Oryctolagus cuniculus: one gene and its partners. The protein of the gene in region 1 interacts with the protein of each later gene in a pairwise test. Links are inferred from orthologs where the notes say so. Each region holds a gene or a part of one and is shown in the gene's direction. Other genes may lie near its edges. The genes, in order: FHL3, FOSL2, SPMAP2, SAP30BP, CNNM3, RFX3 and CCDC198.

What was found.
Region 2: the proteins of FHL3 (region 1) and FOSL2 interact in binary tests that used the Homo sapiens proteins (3 or more experiments, as listed by UniProt). The two-hybrid records come from large-scale screens. The link is inferred for Oryctolagus cuniculus from reciprocal best matches to the Homo sapiens genes FHL3 and FOSL2.
Region 3: the proteins of FHL3 (region 1) and SPMAP2 interact in binary tests that used the Homo sapiens proteins (3 or more experiments, as listed by UniProt). The two-hybrid records come from large-scale screens. The link is inferred for Oryctolagus cuniculus from reciprocal best matches to the Homo sapiens genes FHL3 and SPMAP2.
Region 4: the proteins of FHL3 (region 1) and SAP30BP interact in binary tests that used the Homo sapiens proteins (3 or more experiments, as listed by UniProt). The two-hybrid records come from large-scale screens. The link is inferred for Oryctolagus cuniculus from reciprocal best matches to the Homo sapiens genes FHL3 and SAP30BP.
Region 5: the proteins of FHL3 (region 1) and CNNM3 interact in binary tests that used the Homo sapiens proteins (3 or more experiments, as listed by UniProt). The two-hybrid records come from large-scale screens. The link is inferred for Oryctolagus cuniculus from reciprocal best matches to the Homo sapiens genes FHL3 and CNNM3.
Region 6: the proteins of FHL3 (region 1) and RFX3 interact in binary tests that used the Homo sapiens proteins (3 or more experiments, as listed by UniProt). The two-hybrid records come from large-scale screens. The link is inferred for Oryctolagus cuniculus from reciprocal best matches to the Homo sapiens genes FHL3 and RFX3.
Region 7: the proteins of FHL3 (region 1) and CCDC198 interact in binary tests that used the Homo sapiens proteins (3 or more experiments, as listed by UniProt). The two-hybrid records come from large-scale screens. The link is inferred for Oryctolagus cuniculus from reciprocal best matches to the Homo sapiens genes FHL3 and CCDC198.

The regions. Positions count from the first base shown.
Region 1 is NC_091438.1:134,807,740-134,811,558, forward strand, and holds the end of FHL3 (four and a half LIM domains protein 3), read left to right. Parts: intron 1-410; coding exon 411-586; intron 587-687; coding exon 688-862; intron 863-2,075; coding exon 2,076-2,245; intron 2,246-2,341; coding exon 2,342-2,528; intron 2,529-2,608; coding exon 2,609-2,763; 3' UTR 2,764-3,319; downstream 3,320-3,819. UniProt on the Homo sapiens protein: Recruited by SOX15 to FOXK1 promoters where it acts as a transcriptional coactivator of FOXK1.
Region 2 is NC_091433.1:174,525,328-174,528,827, reverse strand, and holds part of FOSL2 (fos-related antigen 2), read left to right. Parts: intron 1-1,869; coding exon 1,870-2,388; 3' UTR 2,389-3,500.
Region 3 is NC_091447.1:58,263,992-58,268,282, reverse strand, and holds the start of SPMAP2 (sperm microtubule associated protein 2), read left to right. Parts: upstream 1-1,491; 5' UTR 1,492-1,553; coding exon 1,554-1,834; intron 1,835-2,699; coding exon 2,700-2,816; intron 2,817-3,039; coding exon 3,040-3,111; intron 3,112-4,291. UniProt on the Homo sapiens protein: May be involved (but not essential) in spermatogenesis.
Region 4 is NC_091448.1:4,910,115-4,913,614, reverse strand, and holds part of SAP30BP (SAP30-binding protein), read left to right. Parts: exon of another isoform or gene 1-1,673; coding exon 1,674-1,765; exon of another isoform or gene 1,766-1,825; intron 1,826-2,533; coding exon 2,534-2,594; intron 2,595-3,004; coding exon 3,005-3,056; intron 3,057-3,500. UniProt on the Homo sapiens protein: Plays a role in transcriptional repression by promoting histone deacetylase activity, leading to deacetylation of histone H3.
Region 5 is NC_091433.1:110,906,312-110,910,440, reverse strand, and holds the start of CNNM3 (metal transporter CNNM3), read left to right. Parts: upstream 1-1,329; 5' UTR 1,330-1,372; coding exon 1,373-2,594; intron 2,595-4,129. UniProt on the Homo sapiens protein: Probable metal transporter.
Region 6 is NC_091432.1:165,827,287-165,831,567, reverse strand, and holds the start of RFX3 (transcription factor RFX3), read left to right. Parts: upstream 1-1,481; 5' UTR 1,482-1,774; coding exon 1,775-1,796; intron 1,797-4,281. UniProt on the Homo sapiens protein: Transcription factor required for ciliogenesis and islet cell differentiation during endocrine pancreas development. Essential for the differentiation of nodal monocilia and left-right asymmetry specification during embryogenesis.
Region 7 is NC_091443.1:19,327,603-19,331,102, forward strand, and holds part of CCDC198 (factor associated with metabolism and energy), read left to right. Parts: intron 1-1,602; coding exon 1,603-1,838; 3' UTR 1,839-3,500. UniProt on the Homo sapiens protein: May be involved in tuning the metabolism, energy expenditure, and excretion processes.

The DNA.
Region 1 (3,819 bases):
AGGAATGCTGTTCATATATGGGGAAGGGTGGGGTGGCGCCTGCCCTTGCCCCTGCTCCTGCCACCCCGGGGACAGTAGGGACAGTGGCGGTTAAGCTCAGGCTGGGGCAGGAAATGAGTCACTGACCCAGGAAAAGCCCCCTCCCCCAAGATCTGCTCCAGCCTCGATAAGAAAACAACTTCTGCTTCCTGGTTTTTTCCTGACCCCTTCCTACCCCAACTGTTCACTACAGAAATAAACCTGCAAGCCTCCACGGTTTCCAGAAGCCCCCCCCTGCCCCATCCCCACCTGCTGCAACCTGGCATTTCCTATGCCTGGTCTCTTGCTCTTTTGTGAATGCAAAGAATGCTTGCCAGGGGCTAAGCCACAGCCCCTCCGGGTGACTGCGGGTCTGCATGTGCTCCCGGCAGGGCTGACTCTTGTCACCACCATGAGCGAGGCATTCGACTGTGCCAAGTGCAGCGAGTCCCTGTATGGCCGCAAGTACATCCAGACAGACAGCGGCCCCTACTGCGTGCCCTGCTATGACAACACCTTCGCCAACACCTGTGCTGAGTGCCAGCAGCTTATTGGGCATGACTCAAGGGTAAGGACCCGAGCAGGGCAGGGCAGGGAGCAGGCAGAGGGTGGCGGGAGGGGGCAGAGGGCCGCAGTGCCAGCACCCCCTGCCTGCCCCGCCCCTCGCAGGAGCTGTTCTATGAAGACCGCCACTTCCACGAGGGCTGCTTCCGCTGTGGCCGCTGCCAGCGCTCGCTCGCCGACGAGCCCTTCACGTGCCAGGACAGCGAGCTGCTCTGTAACGACTGCTACTGCAGTGCCTTTTCCTCGCAGTGCTCCGCCTGTGGGGAGACCGTCATGCCTGGTACGTCCCCGGCGACTCCGCCCGTGGCAGAACTGGCGTTCGTGGAGGGCCTGTGCCTGTGCTGGGGCATCCCCAGAGGCCAGGCGTGTGTGAAGGCCTGCACGTGCAGCATGGGGTGGAAATTCAGTGTGCGCACCACCTGTTGTGCTTACACGCTCTTGGGACCTCAGCATGCATGGGCATCGGTATGCTGAGGCCAAGACAAGCAAGCCTGGTACGGTGCTGAGGATGGGACTGTGCGCCGGGCCAGGTGGCCTCTACACCCGTGGTGGAACAGCACGGATGAAGACTTGCATGTCCGGTACATGCAGGAGCTAAGGGTGTGCTGAGACTTTCATGCTGGGTGCACTGGGGTCTGGTGCACGCAGAGGGTGTAGTATGTGTGGGAATGCATACCTGATAGGTACCTGGGGACTTGGCACATGTGGAGAGTGATGTGCCCAGGAGACAGAGGACTTAGCATGTATGGAACCTATCACACCCAGGGCTTTAGAACTGGTGTGGGCAGACTTGCTTGCCTTGCATGTGTAGGGTCTCATGAGGATGCTGAAACCACCATAGCTCAGCTTACAGAGACATCACGCCTTTTTTTTTTTTTTTTTAAGATTTATTTTATGTATTTGAAAGTCAGAGCTACACAGAGAGAGAGAGAGAGAGAGAGAGAGGTCTTCCATCCGCTGGTTCACTCCCCAATTGGCTGCAAGGGCTGGAGCTGCGCTGATCCGAAGCTAGGAACCAGGAGCTTTCTTGGGTCCTCTCACATGGGTGTAGGGGCCCAAGGGCTTGGGCCATCTTCTACTGCTTTCACAGGCCATAGCAGAGAGCTGGATTGGAAGTGGAGCATCTGGGACTCAAACCAGCGCCCAAATGGGATGCCAATAACTGCAGGCGGCGGCTTTACCCGCTACGCCACAGCGCCGGCCCCAGATGGAGTCTTGTTGTGTGCTGAGGAAGTCGCACCTGGGACACATGGGAGCTAAATCATACACTAAACCCTCATGTCCACTTTAGGGGCCTAGCATGTGCTGAGCCGTGGGGTCCAGCATTTGGGGAGGTTCCCATTTGCAGTGTGTGGGGGGTCCTGCTGCATGTGCATGGATGCCACCCTGTGCGAGCAGTGGGAGCAGTGGGCATCTCCTGGGGGAGGCACGGGGGCGGGTGGCCCTCAGGAGCATGGGGCTCAGCCTCTGAGCAGGACTGCTGTTCCCCACAGGGTCCCGGAAGCTGGAGTACGGAGGCCAGACGTGGCATGAACACTGCTTCCTGTGCAGCGGCTGTGAGCAGCCGCTGGGCTCCCGCTCCTTCGTGCCCGACAAGGGTGCTCACTACTGCGTGCCCTGCTATGAGAACAAGTTTGCTCCTCGCTGTGCCCGCTGCAGCAAGGTGGGGGCTGGGCCAGGGAGTGGGGCTGGGCAACACTGGTCGTGGGGTGGGCAGGCCACTCAGCCTCACCCTGCCCATGGCCACTGCCCCCTCCAGACGCTGACCCAGGGTGGAGTGACGTACCGCGACCAGCCCTGGCATCGCGAGTGCCTGGTGTGCACCGGGTGCCAGACGCCCCTGGCAGGGCAGCAGTTCACCTCCCGGGATGATGACCCCTACTGTGTGGCCTGTTTTGGAGAACTCTTTGCACCTAAGTGCAGCAGCTGCAAGCGCCCCATCACAGGTGGGACAGGAGCCAGAGGGCGGGGTGGGTGTGGTGCTGGGGGAGGCTGAGGGGCAGGACTGACACCGGCATCCCTGCAGGACTCGGTGGGGGCAAGTATGTGTCCTTCGAGGACCGCCACTGGCACCACAGCTGCTTCTCCTGCGCCCGGTGCTCCACGTCCCTGGTGGGCCAGGGCTTCGTGCCGGATGGAGACCAAGTGCTGTGTCAGGGCTGCAGCCAGGCAGGGCCCTGAGCCTTCAGAACCAGGGCTCCAGGACTACGGCCCCTCTTCGCAACCCCCTCTGGGACCCAGCCCTTCCCCCAAATGGGGCTCCCCCTGCCCCCAGCGACCTCTAACTGGTACTCCCCAATCCAGACCTGGACTCCAGGACCCAGCCCTCTCCTCCATAGTCGGGGTTCTCAGAGCAAGCCCACTCCCCACATCAGGCCTGTAGACCCCAGCCCTTCAAACCTGAACTCTGGGGACCTAGAGCCCCCTTAAATCTGGACTACTCTCCAGAGATTTTAGGTGTCTTGCAGGAGCCTGGGAAGTCCTCCAAATGGACTGTACTCAGGCTTGAGCCCTGGCCCATCCCACCCCGGTCCCCTGGGCTGCGGGGAGGGGGCTGTCTGGGCTGCACCTGGGGAGGCTCCCCCAGTTAAGGGGCTCTGGGGTACAGGTGCTGCCCAGGCTGTGTCTGTCGAGTGTCTTCTCGTTTTATTTCAGCTGCATTTTGCCCAGAGATGGGCAGAGGGAGTGGGATTAGCCCGGCCCTCTTCCAGATTCTGCAATAAAGCAGTGTGAGGAAGCCAGGCGTCTGTGTGTTTGCCTGGGACCCTTTGCGGCTCTTCTAGACTTTCCGTGTCCCCGGGCAGAGGCCCAGGGCTACGAGTGCCACAGGGTAGGAGTCTGCCCCCCGGAACGGGATCCCTGCCGAAGCTACCGTTCCGGCAAGCTCGCCCTGCCTCCCCTCCTGCTGGCCGAAGGCTGCTTCTCTCCCGTGGGGAAGGGCGGCGACGGGGAGGTTCCAGGCAGGAGCGGGGCTGGCGGCGGGGCGCCCTCCCCCGGTACAAGCCGGCCTCTCTCCTAACTGCCCTGCCCAAATCCCGCGGAGCCTGCACTCGGTCCTGAGCCCCAGTCTGGGCCCAGACCCTCAACCCCCTTCCCCTTCTTCCCGAAGATTAGCGGGGGCGGCCCGGGATCTGCTCGCGGCCGCACGTTTTTTTGCCAAAAAAGGCAAGGATGCAGCTGCACGCGCCGCGGGAACATCTGGATCCGATTCCCAGCATGAATGGGTCACGGCCCCGC
Region 2 (3,500 bases), on another chromosome or scaffold:
ACCTGTTGCCAGCAAGGGTGGCACACTCTGGCTCAAGCCCTCTGGTTTAGGTGGGGGTGGACGCCATTGATGGAACCTGTGGCGGCCAAGTTGTATTTTCTTAGGGTTTTCCCATGTCCGCCTCTTTCATGAATGAAGCTGGAGCAATGCCCTTGGTACTTCATTCTGCCCTTGTGAGTCACCCCTGCTGCCCAACTGCCTGGACCTGGGGAGGAGCTGAGAGAGGCAGTCAGCCTGTGTCCTCCCTCCCGGTGACCGGCCAGGATAGGGCCAGGGAGACCTCACTGCCGGCACTTCCCTGTCCATCCTGCAGCCTGGCCCCTGGGTGTTGGCTGTGTGCTGTGTGAGCTCTGTGAGCTCTGTGCTCTGTCCCCAGGACAGGTGTCCACCCCCCGCCCCGGGATTCGCTCTGCACAGGCGAAGCCCTCCCCATGCCCCTGACCTTCCCCCGGCCCCGTGTGTCCGCGAGGGCTCTTCGGACCACCAGCTCCAGATGAGTCCTGCCCCCTCCGCTGCCCAGGGCCCTCTCCTGCACCCTCCCCTCCTCCTGGGAGCCACACACCCTCCCCTCCCCACGCCCCCCCCCCCTCCACGCCCTGCCCCAGCCACCTAGGCCCCTGAGCCACATCCTCCACAGGAAGCCTCTCAGCGGCACATGACATTTGTCAGACCCTTGAGACCAATGGAAACTTTTTTTTTCACTCCGGAATATGCTGTGCTCTGGCTCGCGGAGCTCTTGCCCGCGCCGCCTCATCTGTGAGCAGGAATCCACGCTAGGGAAAAAGTGGGCAGGAGGCCGGGGACACACACCTGCTCCCCTCCCACCGCCGCCCGCCACGTGCACTGGCTGGCGTCTGCTTCCCTGGTTTGTGTGAAAGAAGGGGGCTGGAGTCCTGGCCGTGACTCTGGCATCCTCACAGTCCCTCGAAGCCTGTCGGAAGCTACAGCAAAAATAGAGGAGGGGATGTACAGATTCCCCCAGGCACTGGCTGAGCCCCCTCCTTTTATAATTGCTTATTTATTTGAAAGAAATTGAGGTCGTCCTTCCACTGGTTCATTCCCCAAATGGCCACAGTGGCTGGGGCTGCGCTAGTCCAAAGCCAGGAGCCTGGAATTCCCATCTGGGTCTCCCACGTGAGTGCAGGGGCCCAAGCACTTGGGCCATCTTCTGCTGCTTTCCCAGGCGCATTAACAGGGAGCCGGAGTGGAAGCAGAGCAGCCGGGGACTTGAACCAGTGCTCTGGTGGGGGATGCTGGCATCGCAGGCAGTGGCTTAACCTGCGGGGCCACGATGCTGGCCCTGGCTGAGCAGTTCTCAGAAGCCGGGCACTGCCTAGGCTCTGTGGGACAGGAGTAGGCAGGATGACGCCCGCTCCCCCATGCCGCTGAGTGTGTCCCTGGTGAGCGGGCATGGGCTCGAGGCAGCCGTAGAGGAGACAGGCAGGGCTGAATGCTGGCTTCCTTCCTGCATGGACCCTGGGCTCAGACACTGGGACTCAGATCTGGGCTGCCCTGCCTGCTACCTTGGGTAGATCACTAAACCTCCCTGAGCCTCGGTGTTCCCCTCTGTGAAATGGGTTGATGATAACACGAACTTCCAAAGACTACGGGAGCACTGGATGAAACTCCCTGAAATGCTCAATGCTGTGCCTGATGCCGTGACAACAGCCACAACTGTAGGTTCACCCCTCCTCCCAGCAGGCTTTGCTCCTGCGGAATTAAAGGGAATCTGAGCCTCCACGTGACTCACAACCAGTGGGGTCTGTGGCCAGAGGTGTGAGCTGGCTGGGTTTCCCTCCGTGGCCCCCCCAGCCCCCGGGGCCCTAGGGTGCTGTCTCTCACCTCTCTCTCTCCCTCCCCCACCCCCAGGAGACAGAGGAGTTGGAGGAGGAGAAGTCAGGCCTGCAGAAAGAGATCGCCGAGCTGCAGAAGGAGAAAGAGAGGCTGGAGTTCATGTTGGTGGCCCACGGCCCGGTGTGCAAGGTGAGCCCGGAGGAGCGCCGCTCGCCCCCCGCCACCGCACTGCCGCCCATGCGCAGTGGGGGCGGCGCGGTGGGCGCCGTGGTGGTGAAGCAAGAGCCCCTGGAAGAGGACAGCCCCTCGTCGTCTGCGGCGGGGCTGGACAAGGCCCAGCGCTCGGTCATCAAGCCCATCAGCATCGCGGGGGGCTTCTACGGCGAGGAGCCCCTGCACACCCCCATCGTGGTGACCTCCACTCCCGCCATCACCCCGGGCACTTCGAACCTCGTCTTCACCTACCCCAGCGTCCTGGAGCAGGAGTCGCCCGCATCGCCCTCCGAGTCCTGCTCCAAGGCGCACCGCAGGAGCAGTAGTAGCGGGGACCAGTCCTCGGACTCCTTGAACTCCCCGACTCTGCTGGCCCTGTAACCCAGCCGCCTCTCCCGCCAGCTCCAGAGGGGCCCTCAGCACCACCGCCTCCCCAGGGACCAGCACCTTGAAGCCTCTGGGGCCGCGAGGACCAGAGTGGGCTCTGCTGGGGAGCTGCCCGGCTCTGCTGGACAGCTGGGACCCCGGCTGGGGCGGCACGGGGCGGAGGTGGGGACGTGGTCAGTCTCTGGGAGGCCACGGGGCCTCCCTGTCCTGCGTCTTGCAAGCAAATCCTGTTTCTTGAAAGGCCTCGGAGAACCTGGCCTGCGGACTGGGCGACACCGGCTTCCGAGGAGCCTGAAGCTGTCCCCTTGAAACCACGCTGCGCTTCCCGCCCTGCCAAGCATGCGCAGTGCCTTTTGGGTCCTCCTTCCCCCACCTCCGTGTCAATTTCGCTCCCTCCTGGTTTTATTTTTTTTTTAATCGAGTTTGCCACGACATTTCATCCGGGTGGTCTGAGTAGTGACTCTTGTTTCTGGACATGGGGCAGCAAATGACTCCTGCGCTGGGGCGGACTGTGCAGAAGGGGACGGTCAAGTGCAATACGGAACCCTCGGTCCCCCGACGCTCCCAGGCGCGCCGGCATCTCCGAAACCAGCGGTGGGGCTCCCTGGGCTCGCGAGGGGGAGCCCCCTTCCTTCACTGGCAACCTCCTGGCCCTCGGAGCAGCGGCACAGCCGGAAGACAGGGTGTGAGAGAGACAGCCGGGACACAGGTTGGGTTTGCCAAGCGCCTAATTACCAGGCCAGGAATAGTGCCAACAAAGCCACCCGGGTGTCCTAGCCAGCTTCCCCTCCCCTGTGTCTTGAGCAGGGTGTCCCCTGTAATTACTGCCTCGCCACTCTGCCCCTGGACCCTCGTCCCTGCCTAGGCACGGCACAGCACTCCAAGTCCCTGCGTGCCTCCGCCCTTCTCCTCAGGGTGACGCCACCCACGGAGACTTAATGAGCGTGGCCTGGACCCTCCCCAGACTGCGGCTGGGCCACTCCTCCCCAGGCCTCATGGAGGAGGAGCCCCTGCAGGCACAGTGGATGGAAAGACCAGGTGAGCTGGGAGGCCGCCACTGGGGTGCACCTACAGCCGCAGCCCCAGGCCCGCTTGGCCCCTCAGCA
Region 3 (4,291 bases), on another chromosome or scaffold:
CTGCAGAGCCAGGAGGGTGCACCAGTCAGCTGAGCCCACTGGGTCCCCCTTCTGTGGCCTGGGATGGCCTGGGATGGCCCCCGGGAGAAGCCGGGGCAGCAGCTGACCTGAAGGCGGCACGGTCCCTGCTGGGCCTGGCCTGTGGGAAGACTGCACAGAGCCTTTGGAAGTGTGAGACCCACAGCCCTGTTCGCTGCCTGCCTTCCCTGCGCGCGGCCGAGGGAAGCCGCTTCCACTTGTTTGCTGCCTTCCTGAAGGCACCAGGCCCCCTCACGGACCCCCTGCCCCCTGGGAGAGAGAGAGAGAGAGAGAGGGAGAGAGAGAGGGAGGGAGAGAGGGAGGGAGAGAGAGAGGGAGAGAGGGAGGGAGAGAGAGAGGGAGAGAGAGGGAGAGAGAGAGGGAGGAGAGGGAGGGAGAGAGGGAGAGAGGGAGAGGGAGGGAGGGAGGGGGAGAGGGTGAGAGAGGGAGGGAGAGGGAGAGAGATAGAGGGAGAGAGGGAGAGAGGGAGAGGGAGGGAGAGAGAGGGAGAGAGGGAGAGAGGGAGGGAGGGAGGGGGGAGAGGGTGAGAGAGGGAGGGAGAGGGAGAGAGATAGAGGGAGAGAGGGAGAGAGGGAGAGGGAGGGAGAGAGGGAGGGAGAGGAAGAGAGAGGGAAAGAGAGAGAGAGAGGGAGAGAGAGAGGGAGGGAGGGGGAAGAGGGTGAGAGAGGGAGGGAGAGGGAGAGAGATAGAGGGAGAGAGGGAGAGGGAGGGAGAGGGAGAGAGAGGGAGAGAGAGAGAGAGGGGAGAGAGAGAGGGAGGGAGGGGGAAGAGGGTGAGAGAGGAAGGGAGAGGGAGAGAGGGAGAGGGAGAGAGGGGGAGAGAGGGAGGGAGGGGGGGAGAGAGGGAGGGAGGGAGAGGGGGGAGAGGGGGAGAGAGGGAGAGGGAGGGAGAGAGGGAGGGAGAGAGAGGGAGAGAGGGAGAGAGAGAGGGAGAGGGAGAAGGAAGGAGGGAAAGAGAGAGGGAGAGAGGGGAAGAGAGAGAGGGAGAGAGAGAGGGAGAGAGGGAGAGAGAGGGGGGAGAGAGGGAGGGAGAGAGGGAGAGAAAGGGAGGGGGGAGAGGGAGAGAGAGGAAGAAAGAGAGGGAGAGAGAAAGGGAGAGAGGGAGAGGGAGGGAGAGAGGAGAGAGAGGGAGGGAGGAGAGGAGAGAGGGAGAAGAGGGGGAGAGGGAGGGGAGGGAGAGGGAGAGGGAGAGGGAAGGAGAGGGAGAGGGAGAGGGAGAGGGAGAGGGAGAGGGAAGAGGAGAGAGAGGGAGGGAGGCCGGGATGCCTCCCAGAAGCCCCTGCTGACCCTGCTCCAGTCTCTGGCCAGCATCCCGGGAAGGCAGGTGTGACCTCCAGGAAGGACCCGGGTCCAGCACCTGCAGGGTGGGGGCGCCGCCCGCGCTGAGCCCCTCCCCCACCCCGCCCGGCCCGTGGTTAGAATGTGGGCGGCGCCTTCTCCTGTCGCCCTGGTGACCGCAGATCCATTTGGGTGTTGCCAGAGCTAGGACGCAGGTGTGCGGAGGGGACCCGGCCCATGGAGGACCGCCGCTTCTCGGAGGCGGGGGGCGGGCCCGGGGGCGGCCAGGACGAGGCCCTCGGCCTCCGGGGCCCCGTGTACAGCAGCCTGCGGTTCAAGGACCCCAAATACCGGGACCCCGAGGATGCGGACCTGGGGCTGGAAGACCAAGAGGACGAGGAGGTCCCTGCTGAGGAGGTGGCCGGGGACGAGCCCCCCGGGCCCGCGAACCAGGAGGACGCGCTTTCCGAGTCGGAGGGGGCTCCGGACAAAGATGCAGAGGACATTGCGGAGATGAGGTGTTCGGGGGGGGGTCGGGGGTCAGCGGGGGGCGCGGCGGCCCCCGCTTTCGGAGTGGAAGAGAAAAGCACACGCAGATGGCCGGGTTAGGGCGCGGGCCTGAGCACTTGGGGGGCGACTTCCGGCCACGTGCACCGCGCCCCCCCAGCGCCTCCTGTCCCCCTCAGGGCTCCCCTGGCTGACACCTGCTGGCTGGTGGGGCAGGGCTGTTCCACCTAGGGTGAAGCCACGCCCCTCCCTCCCAGAGAGCCCAAGGGGCCCTGGTGGGGGCGGGGGGGGCGAAGTGGGGCTGAGGGCAGGGGCAGCCAAGGCCCTGCTCCTGTGGCCCCGCTGTCCTGCACCACAGGTGCTGGAAAATGCTTGAGAGTGGAGTGGCTGTGAGCCCTGCGATGGTCCTGGGAGCTGGGGCCGGCCTCTCTCTCTATTTACTTATTTGAAAGTCAGAGGAGAGAGAGAGAGAGAGAGAGATCTTCCCTCCTCTGGTTCACTCCCTAGATGGCTGCAAGGCCAGAACTGGGCTTGTCGGAAGCCAGACGCCTCATCCGGGGCTCCCACGTGGGTGCAGAGGTCCAAGCGCTTGGGTTGTCCCCTGCTGCTGCCCCAGGCCATGAGCAAGGAGCTCAGTGGACAGTGGAGCGGCTGGGACTTGCACCTGCGCTCACGTGGGGCGCCAGCCTAACCCCCTGTGCCACAGCACCCCCATTCCTCTCATAAAGGGGGGAGCAGGGCCTTAGGAAGCTGTGGGGGTGGGGGGTGGTGCTTCAGGCCCTGGCCCATCCCCACCAGGGAAGCCTGAGAGGACAGCAGGTGGGCGGGGCGGGCAAGGGCCAGGCGGTGCCAGCCCCAACACCGACTCTCCCGCAGTCGGCTGTCCATCACCCGCACACTGCCCCGCTGCTCCATGGCCAGAGGGAGGCGGCAGCGGCGCCGGCTCCTGGAGCTGGCAGAACCCAAGACCAACTGGCAGGTCCTGAGAGACAGGTGAGGGCCGGCCAGGCCTGGGCCTCACTGGGTGGGGCAGGTCCAGGTCCTCGGAAAGGTGGCGACCCCGAGCTCCCACGGGGGTGGGGTGGGGGTGGGGGAGGGGCCGCCAGGGAACAGAATCAGGATCCCAGCGGTGGGGCCTGGTGGGGACGGTGGCCCCTGGGGTCCTCAGGGCGGTGGCGGCGGACGGCAGCAGGGCGTTGGCCCTGTCTCGTCGCAGGATGAGAGGCCGCTGTAGGGGCTATGCGTGGATCACCCCATGCAAGACCACCTTGCACTTCTGTCTCTATTGGTAAGTCCCTCGCCTGCTCCCCACCTGCAGCTCACGTGGCCGCGGCGCCCGGCCAGGGAGGGAGGGGCTTCCAGGTGGGGGCTCCCTCACCCACACGCTAGCCCCGGACCTGGCTTCAGGCAGAGAGGACCTGGCCACTCCCTCGAGAAGCTGGGGCTCTGCTGGCGCTGTCGCCCCTGGCTCACCTCCCTCCGACTCGGCACTGGTGCAGGCCCAGGAGGCTCAGGACGTGTCACCCACCGTGTCCAAGGCACTCTCCCAGCTGCCCAGGATCTCCAATGTCATGGCTGTCACTGGAATTCTAAATAAACTCGAATCAGAACCCTAACCCTAACCCTAACCCTAAATCCTAGCCCTAACCCTAACCCTAGCCCTGACCCCTAACCCTAACCCTAACCCTAACCCTAACCCTAAATCCTAACCCTAACCCTAAATCCTAGCCCTAACCCTAACCCTAAATCCTAGCCCTAACCCTAACCCTACCCTAACCTTAAATCCTAGCCCTAACCCTAACCCTAACCTTAAATCCTAACCCTAACCCTAACAATAAATCCATAACCCCTTACCCTAATCCTAACCTCTAACCCTAACTTTAAGACTTAGTATTGACCCTAAATCTTTAACCCTAACCCTAAATCCTAACCCTAACCCTAAATCCTAACCCTAACCCTAACCCTAAATCCTAACCCTAACCCAAACCCTAACCCCTAACCCTAACCCTAAATCCTAACCCTAACCCTAAATCCTAGCCCTAACCCTAACCCTAACCCTAAATCCTAGCCCTAACCCTAACCCTAAATCCTAGCCCTAACCCCTAACCCTAACCCTAAACTCTAACCCTAACAATAAATCCGTAACCCCTTACCCTAATCCTAACCTCTAACCCTAACCTTAAGACTTAGCATTGACCCTAAATCTTTAACCATAACCCTAACCCTAAACTGAAAGTCCTGTCTCTAAACCACTAACCCTAACTATAACTCTAAAACTATAATAATCTTCTGGCCATCTCCCTAGCCCAAAACCCATAGCCCTAAACCCTGAAATTTAACAAAACCCTAACCCTAAATCCTGAACCCAACCCTAACCCTAAATTCCTAACTCTGTTCTCTAACCTTAACCCTAACCTAACTTCAAATCCTAGATCCCTAACCCTAATCCCAACCATAACTCAAGTCCC
Region 4 (3,500 bases), on another chromosome or scaffold:
TTATTGGGGCCGGTGCCGCGGCTCACAAAGCTAATCCTCTGCCTTGCGGCGCCAGCACACCAGGTTCTAGTCCCGGTCGGGGCTCCGGATTCTGTCCCGGTTGCCCCTCTTCCAGTCCAGCTCTCTGCTGTGGCCCGGGAGTGCCTGGGAGGATGGCCCAAGTGCTTGGGCCCTGCACCCCATGGGAGACCAGGAGAAGTACCTGCCTCCTGCCATCGGATCAGTGCGGTGCGCCGGCCGCAGCGGCCATTGGAGGGTGAACCAATGGCAAAGGAAGACCTTTCTCTCTGTCTCTCTCTCTCTCACTATCCACTCTGTCAAAAAAAAAAAAAAAAAAAAAAAAAAAAAAAAAAAAAAAGATTTATTTATTGGGGCCAGCGCTGTGGCACAGTGGGTTAAAGCCCTGGCCTGAAGCGCTGGCATCCATATAGGTGCCAGTTCTAGTCCTGGCTGCTCCTCTTCCAATCCAGCTCTTTGCTGTGGTCTGGGAAAGCAGTAGAAGATTGCCCAAATCCTTGGGCCCCTGCACCTGCGTGGGAGACCCAAAAGAAGCTCCTGGCTGCTGACTTCAGATTGGCTCAGCTCCAGCTGTTGCAGCCATTTGAAGAGTGAACCATTGGATGGAAGACCTCTTTGTTTCTACCTCTCTCTGTAACTCTGTCTTTCAAATAAAAATAAATCTTTAAAAAATAATTTATTTCTTTATTTGAAAGAGTTACACAGAGAGAGGAGAGGGAGAGAGAGAGGTCCTCCATCCACTGGTTCACTCCCCAATTGGACAAAATGGCCAGAGCAGGGCCAATCAGGAGCCAGGAGCCTCTTTCCAGGACTCCCACACCATTCAGGGGCCCAAGGACTTGGGCCATCCTCCATTGCTTTCCCAAGCCATAGCAGAAAGCTGGATTGGAAGTGGAGCAGCCGGGACTTGAACTGGCTCCCATATGGAGTGCCGGCAGCAGGCGGCATCTTTACCTGCTACGCCCCAGCACCAGCCCCTGCAGATAGTGCAACGCCCGCCTTCCTAGATAGCAGCACTGTTTCCTCAGGGTTGGGCCTCTTCACTGGCCCTAAGCAGCACAGGCATCGTCTCAGCTGGGCAGCACCTTCCTAGGGACACTCGGGTCACTGGCCAGAGGTGGGCCTGGATCCGGGCCGGGTGTGATTCTCCTTACCCTTGAAAGTCCAGGCCTTGCTCCTGGAGGAGGAGTCTCGAAGATGAGGGGTAACCCTCGATAAACTGGCTGGAACCAGCCATTTGTGAGCCAACCTGAAAAACTCTCCTGCTGCCTGCACCCAGAAGGACGGAGTCCCTCCCAGGAGCCTGTGACTCACAGCTCGGGGGCTTCCCCTCGTGCTGAGAACCAGCCTGTGTCCCTGCACGTCCGCTCTGGCGCCTCGGACTGTTCAGGCGATGCAGGAGCTGATGAAGCGGCTGGCGATCCGGTTGTCATCTCCTCCGTGGCCTCCCTGCCTCAGTCTTTACTCACCCTCTGTTACTCATCCGAAGGGAGACGCCGCAGACAGACTGGCCTGGGCTCTTCTGACTTGGGTCAGCTCTGTCCAGGCAGAGGCTGGGTGGAGAAGGAATGTGCTCCTCACAGCACTCGAGACTGAAGACTGGGACTGGGAGTAGGTGGGCTTCTGTCACATGCTCTTCTGCTCCTCTTCCACAGGACAAGATCCAGAAGCTGTATGAGCGAAAGATAAAAGAGGGAATGGATATGAACTACATTATCCAACGGAAGAAAGAATTCCGGAACCCTAGGTCAGTTTCCCCTGAGCTCGTGGGGCTGGGTCATTGCTGTTGGAGGAGAGCCGGGGCCAGCCCCAGGGAGGTAGTGCGGATAGACTCAGCTGAGGTCTCACCTGAGCTCAGACTCCCCCAGACTCAGACCCAGCAGGCCGTCCCAGCCCCGCCGGGGGCTACTGTGTCAGGTCCAGCCTCCACCCAGAAACCAGTGTGTGAGCTGAGAGCCCAGGGTGCTGGGCTGGAGTGGGGGCGGCAGGATGGCTTCTTGGCCTGCTCCGTTCCTGCCACACATGACCTCACAAGTCCCAGTGTCCTCTAGTCCAGGATGAGGAAGTTGGGCCCGATGACCAGTCTCTGGGTTCTTCTCCCAACTCTGGAAAGTTGGCTTTGCACGCAGATGAGAGGGTCCGGGACAGAGCTAGCTGTATGTGGCTCTCACTCTGCAGCCCTTGAACAAGTGACACCTGGATTGAGCACGTGAGTGGCAGCGTGGATCTTGCGTGGGCCTGAGTGGCAGGCCTGACCTAGCCTTGCATACTGAGGGTCGGAGACGCCCAGATAAGACGGAGCCGTTTCACCTGACCCTGTGCTCATCCCAGCCCCCAGCCAGCAGCTCCACTTCACAGGCAGGTGCAGGCCGGAAGTGGCAGGGCCAGGCCTCCCGCTGGGAAGTTGGAACAGCTGAACAGGGTCTAGAGGTCAGAGAGGTTTCCACTCCGCCCAGGGAGTCGGCAGGGACATGGGACGAGTGCCTGCTCAGTGCCTGTTTTGTTCTCCTTGCAGCATCTATGAGAAGCTGATTCAGTTCTGTGCCATAGACGAGCTCGGCACCAACTACCCAAAGGTGGGTCCAGTGCTCAGGCTGAGGGTGGGGGGGTTCCCTGGACCCTGGGCCGGCTCCACTGGAGTTGCACAGGAAGGTCAGTGGCACAGCAGTTCTGGTTGGATGGAAGAGGCTCCATCTCGCTCGTGTTCCTTTTCTGAAGCAGTCCAGTGAGAGACACCAGTTACAGATCTGGCCGCGAAGCTCTGAATATGTAGGGCCCAGGTGTGGGCTCACTGCTCCTGCAGATCAGCTGGGGGGTGCTGAGCGGTGCATCTACCCCGGAGCTGGAGGCCCGGGGTCGCAGTTGAACCCTCGTGCTGTGACAGGAAGGCGCTCCAGGCCAGGAAGGTCTATGGAAAGACTCAAGGGAAAGGGGCTTGTCACCTGACACTGCCAGTTGATCGTGGCTTTGACCTTTTCTTTCTCAGGATATGTTCGACCCCCATGGCTGGTCTGAGGACTCCTACTATGAGGCATTAGGTAACCTGCCTTCCATCTACCCACCTGCCTATCTGTCCAGCCAGGCAGTCACCCAGGCCACACGCATTCCTGAGTCTCCTCTATGTCAGAGGGCCTCCAAGGGGCTGCAGCACCTTCACAGTCTCATGAGACGGGCCCCCATCCCTGACTCACAAGGCTGTCATACAGCGAAGGAGACAGATGGCTGAGCCAGTAATCCCCGCACTGACGAGGCTTACGATGGGGAGCTGGGACAAGCAGGGATGCCTGACCTGCTGCAGGGGTTGGAGGGCTCGCGGAGGAAGTGGTGTTCACGCTGAGCTTGGAAAAGTGCAGGGGCCGGGCAGGCGTGGGCAGGATACCAGGCACAGTGGTGTCTTGAGGGCCCGTTAGGCAGAACTGGGAAGAATTGAAGAGGCTGCAGGCCCTTGAGCCGCAGGTCTATTTTTTTTTTTTTTTTTTTTT
Region 5 (4,129 bases), on another chromosome or scaffold:
CAGACTCATTTTTGCACATTACTTTCCACACAGATATGTTTCACTTGATTGTGGCCACTCTGCGTACTTTTTAATTTTTTAAACAATTTTTTTTAAGTTATATGACTGGCAGAGACAGAGAAAGAATCTGCCATCCGCTGGTCCACTCCCTAAATGCTGCCAACAGCCAGGGCTGGGCCAGGAGGAGGCCAGACCTGGAAACTCAATCTGGATCGACCCATGTGGGTGGCCAGGACCCAAATCCTGGAGCCATCTTGCTGCCTCCCAGGGTGCAGATGATCAGGAAACTGGGATCGGGAGTGGAGCTGGGACTCAAGTCCAGATGCCTATATGGAATGTGGTGTCCCAAGGGGCTTCTTAACTGCCATGCTAAACATCTTCCCCTAAACTTATAAACTGTCGTTTTCATGACAGAGCAAGTTGGCACGGGGCTATCCGCCTTAAAAAAAAAAAAAAAAAAAAAAAAAACAAACAAACAAACAAAAAAAAAAAACACCGCAAAAGTGTAGAGAAGAAATAATACAGCTCAGCTGCAGGGGCCAGCCTGAATGCAGTTAGACTAGAAAGGCCGTGCGAGTTTCTCGGCCTCGGACTGACGGACTGCCAGGAGCCGGGCAGGGATTCCTGACATCGCGGCTACGGCGGTGGCGGTGGTGGCCGGGGCGTCCCGACGCCTCGGAACCCAACACGCCCGCGGAGTCTTCCTGGACTTCGCCTTTCTCCTGTCAGACACTAGTTACACCGAGTAGCTGTGAGGATCCAGTGAGGCTGGGATCTCGTGTGCACGTTTCCACCACACGTCTCCCCGGCGGGAAAGCGAGTTCCTTGAAGACAGGGCCTGTGTTGGCGTCCCGGGGCCTACAGCCGCAGTTAAACCTCGGCACAACCCCAGCCGCTGGTTCTGGCTCCCAGGGCCCGTTCCTAGGAAAACAGCACGCTCCCACTCGCTTCCATCTCCGTCAGCAACTTCAGGTACGCCGGGACCCGCGGCTCAGGCGAGCACCCGCTCCCGCTCAGTGCTCCAGTCCCGAGCAAGGGCCCGCGGCTCCCGCGAGGCCTCGGGACGGGTCGGAGGCCCTGCCCGCCCCGCCACGCCCCAGCTCGCGGCTCCGCGTCCTCCGAGAGCCGGCCACCCAGTGCCTTCGGAGCGGCGGCGGGGCTCGCTGGGGCGGAGAACCCCACGCCCCCGGCCCGCCCCGCGCCGCCGCTTGTTTACTCCCCGGCGCAGCCTAGTCCGACCCTAGGGCCCGCCCCCGCCCGCCGTCTATTGGCCGAGGGGGCGCGAAGGCCGGTCATGATTGGGCCGCGGGAGGCGGAGGCCGCGGGACGAGCGGGGTAGGCTGCGCGAGAGGCCGAGAGGGGGCAGCAGGCGATGGCGGCGGCGGCGGCGGCGGCGGGTCGGCTGGGCTGGTTGTTCGCCGCGCTCTGCCTGGGCAACGCCGCGGGGGAGGCGACGCCAGGTCTGCGAGTGTTGGGCTTCTGTCTGGAGGAGGACGGAGGAGCGGTGCGGGCCGCGCCGGAGGCCACCTTCCGCCTGCGCCTCTTCGGCTCCGGGTTCGCCAATAGCTCTTGGACCTGGGTGGCCCCGAAGGGGTCGGGCTGCCCCGAGAGTGGGTCGACCGCGGCGCCCGAGGAGGAGGCGGGGGCGGCCCCCACGGACGAGTGGCGCGCGCTGCTGTGCCTGCGCTCCGAGACCGTGCGCCCGCACTCGGCGCTGCTAGCTGTGCGCGTGGAGCCGGGCGGCGGGGCGGCTGAGGAGGCGGCGCCACCCTGGGCGCTGGGCTTGGGGGCGGCCGGGCTGCTGGCGCTGGCGGCGCTGGCGCGGGGCCTGCAGCTGAGTGCGCTGGCGCTGGCGCCGGCCGAGGTGCAGGTGCTTCGCGAGAGCGGCTCGGAGGCGGAGCGTGCGGCGGCGCGGCGACTGGAGCCCGCGCGGCGCTGGGCCGGCTGCGCCCTGGGCGCGCTGCTGCTGCTGGCCAGCCTGGCGCAGGCGGCGCTGGCGGTGCTGCTGTACCGCGCAGCCGGCCAGCGCGCCGTGCCCGCCGTGCTGGGCTGCGCGGGGCTGGTGTTCCTAGTGGGCGAGGTGGTGCCGGCCGCCGTGAGCGGGCGCTGGGCGCTGGCGCTGGCGCCGCGCGCGCTCGGCCTCAGCCGCCTGGCGGTGCTGCTCACCTTACCGGTGGCGCTGCCCGTGGGGCAACTGCTGGAGTTGGCGGCGCGCCCCGGGCGGCTGCGCGAGCGCGTTCTGGAGCTGGCACGCGGCGGTGGCGACCCCTACAGCGACCTCAGCAAGGGCGTGCTGCGCTACCGGACGGTGGAGGACGTGCTCACGCCGCTCGAGGACTGCTTCATGCTGGACGCCAGCGCCGTGCTGGACTTCGGCGTCCTGGCCAGCATCATGCAGAGCGGCCACACGCGCATCCCCGTGTACGAGGAGGAGCGCTCCAACATCGTGGACATGCTCTACCTCAAGGACTTGGCCTTCGTGGACCCGGAAGACTGCACGCCTCTGAGCACCATTACGCGCTTCTACAACCACCCGCTGCACTTCGTCTTCAACGACACCAAGCTGGACGCCGTCCTGGAGGAGTTCAAGCGAGGTAACGGCTGGGGCACCGCAGAGGGGATGTCCGTGCCCGAGCTTGGCCCTGGGGAAGGAGAGGGGGCTCATGGGGCCGTCGGGGAAAAGGCCCCACTCCTGGAGAGGGCAGGGGGCCCTCTAAGGGCCGGTTTTAAGAGGGTGGTCGCGTTGCAGATGGGAATGACCTTTTAAAGTGTTTAAGGACCCCGCCCTTCAGAGGGGACAGAGTGCCATGGAACGCAAACACCTCTCTTTCTCTCTCTCTCTCTCTCTCTCTCTCTCTCTCCACGGTGGCCCCCGTGTTGGGGACATACCTCTCACTGATTCTAAACCTCCCGGGTCTTCCCGGCTCCCAGGCCATTTCTGTTGTGCCTGGGGTCGGATGTAGCAGATTGAAACTCTTGGATAGAAACTAAAAGGACACGGAGAAGGTGGCTTCCAGATCCGGGCCTAGCTGCCCCTGTGGTGTCCCCAGGGCGTTGGTGGGGTCCCTGGCTGATGGCTGTTTTTCTGAGTGACAAGGGCATGACTCATCAGTACTCCTCCTTTCCTACAGGTATGGAGAGAACTTTCTCTTTGATTTCATCAGAAGCAGCTTCGTGGATGCTGATTTAATCTCTCCTTCCCCTGACTTCCCCTTTTTTTTAAACCTCCCCTCAGGGTCTCTCAGCTTCTCCTCTAGCTCCTTTTCACCCCTCCTTTCAACCCTGGCTTTTCTGAGTGACTCCAAGGTTGAAGGTAAAACAGGCCCTCAGCGTGTGAAATGTGGGTCCCTCTGCAGCCGTCTGCATTGTCAGCCTTGGGGGTGCTATGTGCTTCTCTCACCTGAACTCCCGCAGGATCGGGGTGGGGGCACCCCGTGCTGTGGACGGGCTGTTAGCACGTGAGCAGAGCCCTCCGACAGCCCTGGCAGGAGTGACCATGGTCCTCCTGCACTGGGCACAGCCTCGGGCCAAACCCTGGTAGGTGCGTTGCACTCCACATGTCTTTTAATTCTTGGACCCACAGCTGTGTCTGGTCTGGTGGACTCTCTGGGGGCCCTGGCTCCTTCCCTTCAACGTGGCCATGCAGCCCTACTCTGGGGAGGGCTTTTGTGTGGGGCCCAGACACAGCGTGCTGGTGGCAAGTACTCTGTCTAGATCCCAAACAGTGGGCTCTCTCGAGGCGTGGTGGTCAGCAGTGTGGCCCTGGAGTCAGCCAAGTGCGTTCCATCCTGCCTGGCCTGCACTGTGCTCCTGGGCCCAGGGAAGGCTGCCTGCCTCTCCCGGCTCAGGGTCCTCAGTGGTTAGCGATAGGAGGGGTAATGAGAGGATCGGGGAGAGGAGATGCGGGGCGCCGGGGCCTGGGTGTTCGTTGCTAGGAGGGTGATGATTGCTCACGGCTGGGAGCTCTGCAGATGGGTAGGTTCGCCTACTCCTGGGGAACCAGTAGCAGAGGTCACACTGCAAGTGCAGGCTTTATCCCTTCTGCGTAGGGAACTTGTATAGAGGCCACAGCTGTCCCTTTGATGGCCTAAGCTGTCACATTTCAAGGTGTCTTAAATGCTCGGCTCAC
Region 6 (4,281 bases), on another chromosome or scaffold:
GGTTTCGCCAGCGTCTGTAGTGGCAGTCCTCTGAGAGGACTCCGTGACCTCAGCCCCTACCAAGCCTAAGCGCACCTCTTCGGGGTTCTCCGTCGGAATCCCAGCCTAGCGGCCCCCAGTCCCCCACCCTGCGCGCCGCCCGGCTTCGGGGGCCGTCAGTCACGGCGCTGAGCCCGCCCCTTCCGGCGACTCCGCTGGGCCCGCCTCCTCCCCTCTTCCCTCCCCCACCCCTCCCCGTGCGAGTGTCTCCCTCTCCCTCTCGCTCCCTCTCTCTCTCTCTCCCTCTCTCTCTCTTTTGTGAGTTATAGCAACCGTTGCCTTGTGAATCAAGCGCCATAGTCACCGTAGTCCTGGCGACTGTTACCCATCAACAACAACTACTCCTCTCCTCCTCCTCCTCTTCCTCCTCCTCCTCCTCCTCCCCACCACCACCATCTCCATCACCCACCAACAACACCACAATAATCCACAGCCAAGGTGAATATTCTTCGGTCTCTACATGTGTGTGGGAGCGTGTGGCGGCGTGTGAACGCGTGTGTCCGTGCGTGTGTGTGTCCGTGTGTGCGAGCCGAGTGTGGCTGTGCGGGGGTCTCACTCCTGACACCCGGGCTGCCGCCGCGGCGCCGCTGCCCGGGGGCTCCGTCCCCCGGGCTTGTTTACAATGGACCCTGCGCGCCGCGGCGGGGTCGGGGGTGTGGGCGCCGCTCGCCCGGCCCTGCGCCGGCCGCACTTCAGGGATGGAGCGGGAGCTCGGGGGGCTGCGAGCCGAGCGGGAGAGGGAGCCACAGTTTTCCGAGGCGGATGCTGGAGCGTTCCCCTAGCTCTGGTCTGAGGAGGAGGGTCAGGTGAACAGAGACGGATTTCTCTCTCTCTCTTTTTTCCCCCCTTTAATTTTCTTCCTTTTCAAAGCTGCTTGTTTCCTGCTTCTTTCCCAACCGACGTGGACAACAATGTGCCAGGGGAGGGGGGGGACCCGAGAGGTGGTGTTTTGTTGTTGTTGCGGTTCACTTGTGGGGCCTTGTGACGGGTTTTGTTATTTTTGTCCTCGTACGTCGGTGAACTTTTCCCACAGCTTATTCCCTTCGTGTTGGCCCCTCTTTGCCTGGTGCTCCGTGGGCTGCTCTGCTTTGATCATCATCAGCCTCACGGTGTTCTCTCTTCTTTTAAAACTGTATTTTCTTTGTGCTGCAAACAGTCTTGCTATCCATTCCGCACTCTTCCCTCCCCCTCTCCCGTCTCCCCCCTCCCCTGTACACACAGGGAAACTGGGGGCCTCCAGACCGGGCTCCCCCGGCCGCCCTGCGAAGGAGATTTTTTTTTTTTTAAAAGTCTCTCCCTGTCTCCCTGGTCTCTCTCTTCTGGGGTGTGTGTGTGTGTGTGTGTGCGTGTGCGTGTGTGTGTGTGCGCGTGTGTGCGCGCGCGCTTGCGATTTAAACCGGATGCAGGGCATCTGTGATACTTGGTTCCTAGTTATTGACAGTGCTTTATCCTTCCTGTGGAGCTGGGAGGGTGGCCGCGAGGTTCCCTTCCACTCGGACGAGCCGCCCTCCCCGGCGTAGAGTGTTCGCAATTTTCATTGTGGTTCTGAGACTCGGGTGTGATGAACAGGGGGAGGACGCCAGGCAGCTTTGTGAGAACTCAGTTTACAGCGTTATTTCTGACAGTTAGGGTACTTTAAGAGGCTTTCTTTTTTTTTTTTTTTTTCCTTCTTCGTCTTCTGTGTTCGCTTTCCTTTGAGAGTTGAAATTGAAGTCAAGTTGTTCATAAAGAATGTATGAAGCTTCTCAACTTGAAACGTGTGTATATTTCACTTTCTTTGTGGTTGTTAAGATCTAGGCATGTGGGTACTTATTTACTTTTTGGTTTTCTTTGGACAGTAACTTAAACTGCTCAGGAAAGAGAACTTTTTCCTTTTTAAGTCTTTCTTTGGAAAAGTGGTTTTTCTCTTTAGATGTGAATACTTTTCAGTCCTCAAGTAATAAGGTACTTGGTTAGAGTTAACCCAGTTTTATAGATCCCCTTAATTTGTTCATGCTTCAGCCTAACTTTTAATTAATAGATTATCAGTAAAGAGTTTTGATAATGAATGCCTGTTAAAAAATATGATGTGCCATTAAAATTACGTGTGAAGTTGCCAATTTAGATTTTAAAAATGCTTATTTAAATAGTCTTTTTTTCTGACAGCAAACATATATTGATTTAACTGACAGAGCAGCCTGTGAATAATGTGACAGTATTAATTATTCTTGAGATTGTCAATGAGCGGATTGGGTAATTATAATGCTATTAAGGCTAATATTTTATAAAATCAGAGTTGGGGGTTTAAAAAAATTCATTTCAATTCGTTTCCTTCTGATTGCTGTTTTAAATGAAAATATTTGGTTCTGAAAAAAATTTTTCTTACAGCACACAGGTTTTTTTTTTTTTTTTTTTTTTAATAATTATTTCTTTCCTTCCCAACCTGGATCCTGGATTTGGTGCAAATCTCTCATACTAACTTGTATTTTTTTTTTTTTTTTCTGTTCAGATGAGTGTCAAATGCCTGAACACTTTTGGATGGTGAAGCTCCTGGGTCCTATAAACTCTCTCTGAAGTTAATAGGAGTTTTGCTGTCTTGGGACAGTTTCAGACCATATGCCATTCTCGTAATTGGCTTTTAATTGAGTAGATTATATGCTATAATATTATTGCCTTAATATTTTTATTTGCAGTGTTTAAGAACTTTTTTGAGGCATTTCACTCATTATGTGTTTTTAAGGTTTTCTATAATTTTTTTGTTTATACGTTGATTTGAGAGCAGAACTTAAATTGAATCCTTTTATTTAAATTATCCTTTTAAAGCATGTATATGGTATAACAGTTGTTAGAGATGCTTTAGATTAAGTGAGTTGACATTATTCATCTGAACTGATTAAATAATCAGAAATATAATCAGATTTAAACACAGGATAAATATTTAGCATTTAGTGTATTTTTTCTATCATTTTTCTTTGCAGGGAGGGACTGTATTACATACTGGTTTCTCTGTTTTCAGATTTTAGACTAATAGAAATCTGTGAGGGTGATCATGGTTTGGAACTAAAATCATTAAATAGGAGTCCCTTGAAACTTGTTTTGAGTAGCTCAGTACCTGTGGTTCAATGTATGTCATAATGCTTGTCTTGTTTTGACTGTGAATTGTACTAAGTGGTATAGACATCATACATTTGTATGGTAAACTAAAGCATTCTCAGATGTTTTGCATCATTTCACAATGTTTCATTTATATGGGATAGTTATGCTCTGTGTTTAAAATAGTGTATTATTCTCCTGATGTTCAAGTAGTCTTATTAGAAGTTTGTAGTTTATAAGTTGAAGATGATTGAACCCTAAACAGTTTTTATACCCTAAACGTATTTATTGTGATAATATTTTTAAGTGTTAAAAATAGCATTTAAAAATGAGTGAGTTTTAAATTGAGATAAATTTCATGCATTGTATTTATTACTTTGGATAATATTTTAAAGTATTTTTGAGAAAATTCCTATTGTGTGAGCATTCCTTTAAGCTTCCAACTGAAGATATCAGTTATGTGGAGTATGATGATTTTGCTTTTCAAATCTTTTAAATGTGTGTGTTTGTGTGTGTATATGTGTGTTTAGAAGGTTGGCTTTAGCATCAGATGTGTAGGAAAAGTTAAAAAAAAAAAAAAACAACTTTCCTAAACAGTCCAATAGGTATGTTACTTTTTTCTTGGTATTCATAATGAGGATATGCTAAAAGAAAGGAGGCTTCCAAAGAAGTAAACTTTTAAGAAGAGTCTGCTGGTTATTATTTTTTTATTTTTTGCTAAGTATTTGGGTAAAGATCCCCTGTTTACTTTCAGTTACTTTAAAAATAAATAGGTTCCCTAGTGGAATCGTTTTCCTTTAATTCTTTGCTATATTCCTAGTGGCAATCACAAAATAGACTTCAAATTTCTTTCTGTTCACAGGTGCATAGTGTTCCCATTTTTGGAAATCTAGGAGTAAGTGGATTTGACTAAAATCTAGCTTGTTAGGGACAGATGGCTGCTTTAAACAGGTGTCACTTTCATTTTTTTATTGCTTTGTGTTGGGACTTCCAGTGGTTCACAAAAGGGCTGTCCAAAAGCAGGTGGCATCGTTTGCTTTTGTTGTTAGTAGAATCTACTTTTAGAGTTAATTATTTTCCAAACGTGTTTTTTTTTTTTAAGGCAAAGTTTTAAACTACTCAAGATTTGTATATTAACAAAACTTTTATTTCTGAATGCTGTTGTATTTT
Region 7 (3,500 bases), on another chromosome or scaffold:
AATGACTCCACAACTAATTCAAATGCTCATCTAAAAAGCATATAACTCCTTCCCTTGGTATCTATGGGAAATTGGTTCCATATCTCTCACAGATACCAAATCAGGATGCTCAAGTCTATTATATGAAACAGTGTAGTCAGCGGACTCATAGAATGACAACTGCTTTAAATGGCACTCTGACCTCAGAATCAGCCCTTAAGGCATTCTGGTCTGGCTGAAAAGCCCATGAGAGCATTTTAGGCATGAAAAGCCAAGACATTGTGGCAAAAAAAAAAAAAAGTCCTACATGAAGGATCTCTGTGAGACCACAGTGGAAAGAAGGAGCCATTAAAGAAGGATGTACTTTTCTCTGAAGGGAAGAGAAACTCCCACTTTGCTTATGGCCCTGTCTAAATACTGATGGAGATTGTGGACTCAAAAGGCTTCCATAGCCTTGGATGCTCATGTCAAGAGCCTCAGGTGATCACTGACATCATACATAAGAGTGTTAATTGTTAAATTAACAACAGATGTCACTCTGCACTAACTTTCCATGCAAGACTTCTGTCCTCAACGAATTGTATTATGAGAATTAACCGTAAAACTTGTGTGTGTGTGTGTGCACGTGCAAATTGTTGAAATCTTTACTTACTCTAGAGTTGGTCTTCTGTATATAAAGTTAATTGAAAATGAATCTTAATGGAGAATGGGACTGGGAATGTGAGAGGGATGAGTGGTGGGGTGGGAGGGCGGATATGGTGGGAAGAATTACTATATTCCTAAAGTTGTACTTATGAAATTTATACTCATTAAATAAAAGATTTCTTTGAGGGAAAAAAAAACAAATGTAGTATTGGCATATAACCTATGTATACCATCCTGCATATTTTATATCTTCCCTAGGTTATTTATAATACCCTATACAATGTAAATGTTATTAAAATAGTTGTTATACTTTATTATTTAGAGAATAATGACAAGAAAAGAAAGTCTGTAAATTTTTAGAACAGAGGTAATCTTTTTAAAAAATATTTTCAATCTATAGCTGGTTGAATCCATGGAAGTAGAGCCCACAGATATGGACAGCTGATGATATAGGGATGATAGAGATGATATAGAGAGAAAGAGATATGGAGATGAAGATGGAGATACATAGAGATGATAACAGAGATAGAAATAGACAGAGATATATGATAAAAGTGATACTGTAGCAAAACATTGGATATGAACAGCTGATGATATAGGGGTAATAGAGATGATAGAGATACATAGAGATGATGATAGATAGACATAGATATATGGTGAAAGTGATACTGTATCAAAACATTGTCAATGGGTTGTGATTATAAAGATATGTATTGGACCATTCTTGTGACTTTCAGAAGATTCAAAAAAATTATAAATAACAGCTAAAATTTTTTAAGGCTTACAGAGTCACAAATTACAACTGTATCTATAAATATAAATACATAAAGTATATATAAGTATATATAGTGTATATGAATAATACCTATGTATTAGTATATAAGCAGATTGTTTTATGTTCATGAAGTCTAAACATGTAATAACAAATAAATCATTGTTAAGGAAAAGTAAATTAAATGAACTTTAAACTTTTTGTAGGAAACATAGAAAATGCAGAATTTTTGAAGCATCAAGCAAGAAATGACTATCGTACCCGGAAAATTGGCAAAATGGAAAAATGGATTCGTGAACAAGAGGCCCGGGGACAGCTTTTCTGGGATAGTTCTAGCTGTGACTCAGATGAGATGGGGACAGATGAGAAGAAACCACAAGCATTAGTGAGGACAAGGACGGAGAGAATTCCACTTTTTGATGAGTTTTTTGATCAAGAATAAGAATGTCATTCACTAAATACTGAATGCATTAAAATATTACCTTTCTGTCAAACTCTTCAAGTTAATATATGAATTATTGTGAGGAAAGCAATTCTCTTTTGTAAAAAGATATTACATCATTTAGAGTCTTATGGCTAGCAGGTTTGTTATATATGTCATTATCTGTTGCTGTGTAACTAACTGCCTCAAAACTTAGAGACTTAAACAAGAGCCATTTTAATGTGTCACTTTTCTGTGGGTTGCTGGGCTCTGCTAAGTGGTTCTTCTGCTAACCTCATGAAATTTTTCAAGTCATTGAAATACAATGTCAGCTAAGACTGGAGTCATCTGAAGGCTCAACTAGGACTCTAAGACAGCTAGACCATATCCCCTCTCCATATAATCTCAAAGCCTTGTCACATATGCTCTGCAGCAGAGTAGTAAATTTTCTTTCCTATCAGTCTAGGGATCCCAAAAGCAGATGTCCCAAGAAAAGAAAGCAAAAACAGTCTTCTTAAAGGTTGGTCATGAGACTGGCTCTGAATCACGTGCACCATATTCTGAAGCTCAGGCAAGACTGCAGTCAGTGTAGGAGCCTACACAATGGTGTAAAGGCCAAAGTTGCTCCACTAGGGTCCACCTGTGAGACTTGTTACCACATCACGCTCTTTTATTTCCCCCAGAAACCTTTTACTTAAGGTATATAAACTTCACGCATTTCATAAAAACACCTTTAGGAACATAGTGATGGTTATTCATCCCACCGTACCCACCCTCCCACCCCCACTCTCACCCTTCTTCCTTTTCCCTCTCCAATTCCCATTCTTATTTTTTACTAAGATCTACTTTCAATTACCTTTATACATAGATTAATTCTATACTAAGTAAAGAGTTCAACAAATAGTATGAAAAAAAGCATTCTCAACTGTTGAGGAACTTTTTTTTTATTTCTTCTATGACCCACTGTTCATTCAGGAGCCTGTTGTTCAGTCTCCATGTGTTTGCATATGTTCTAGAGATTGTTGAGTTGTTGATTTCCAACTTCATTCCATTGCGATCAGAGAAGATGAATGGTATGATTTTGATTTTTCTTAATTTGCTGAGACTTGCTTTATGGCCTGGTGTGGTCTATCCTAGTGAAAGTTCCATACACTGGTGAGAAGAATGTTTTCTGCAACTGTAGGATGAAAAGTTCTATAGATATCAGTTGGGTCCATTTGGTCTATAGTGTCAATTAACTCTGCTGTTTCCTTGTTGATTTTCTGTCTGGTTGATCTGTCCATTGCTGAAAGTAGATATTGAAGTCCCCCATCACTATTGTATGAGAGTCTATGTCTCTCTTTAGATCCATTAGCTTTTGTTTTAAATAGTCAGGTGCCCTGCAATTAGGTGCATATACATTCATTATAGTCACATCTTCCTGTTGAATTGATCCCTTAATCATTGTATAGAGCCCGTCTTTGTCTCTTTCAACAGTTTTTGTGTTAAAGTCTATTTTGTCTGATATTAAGATGGCTATACCTACTCATTTTTGGTTTCTGTTAGTGTGGAATGCCTTTTTCCATCCTTTCACTTTCAGTCTGCTTATATGTTTGTTGGTGAGATGTGTTTTTTGTAAATAGCAAATAGATTTTTTTTCCATTCAGCCAGTCTGTGTCTTTTAACTGAAGAGTTGAGGCCATT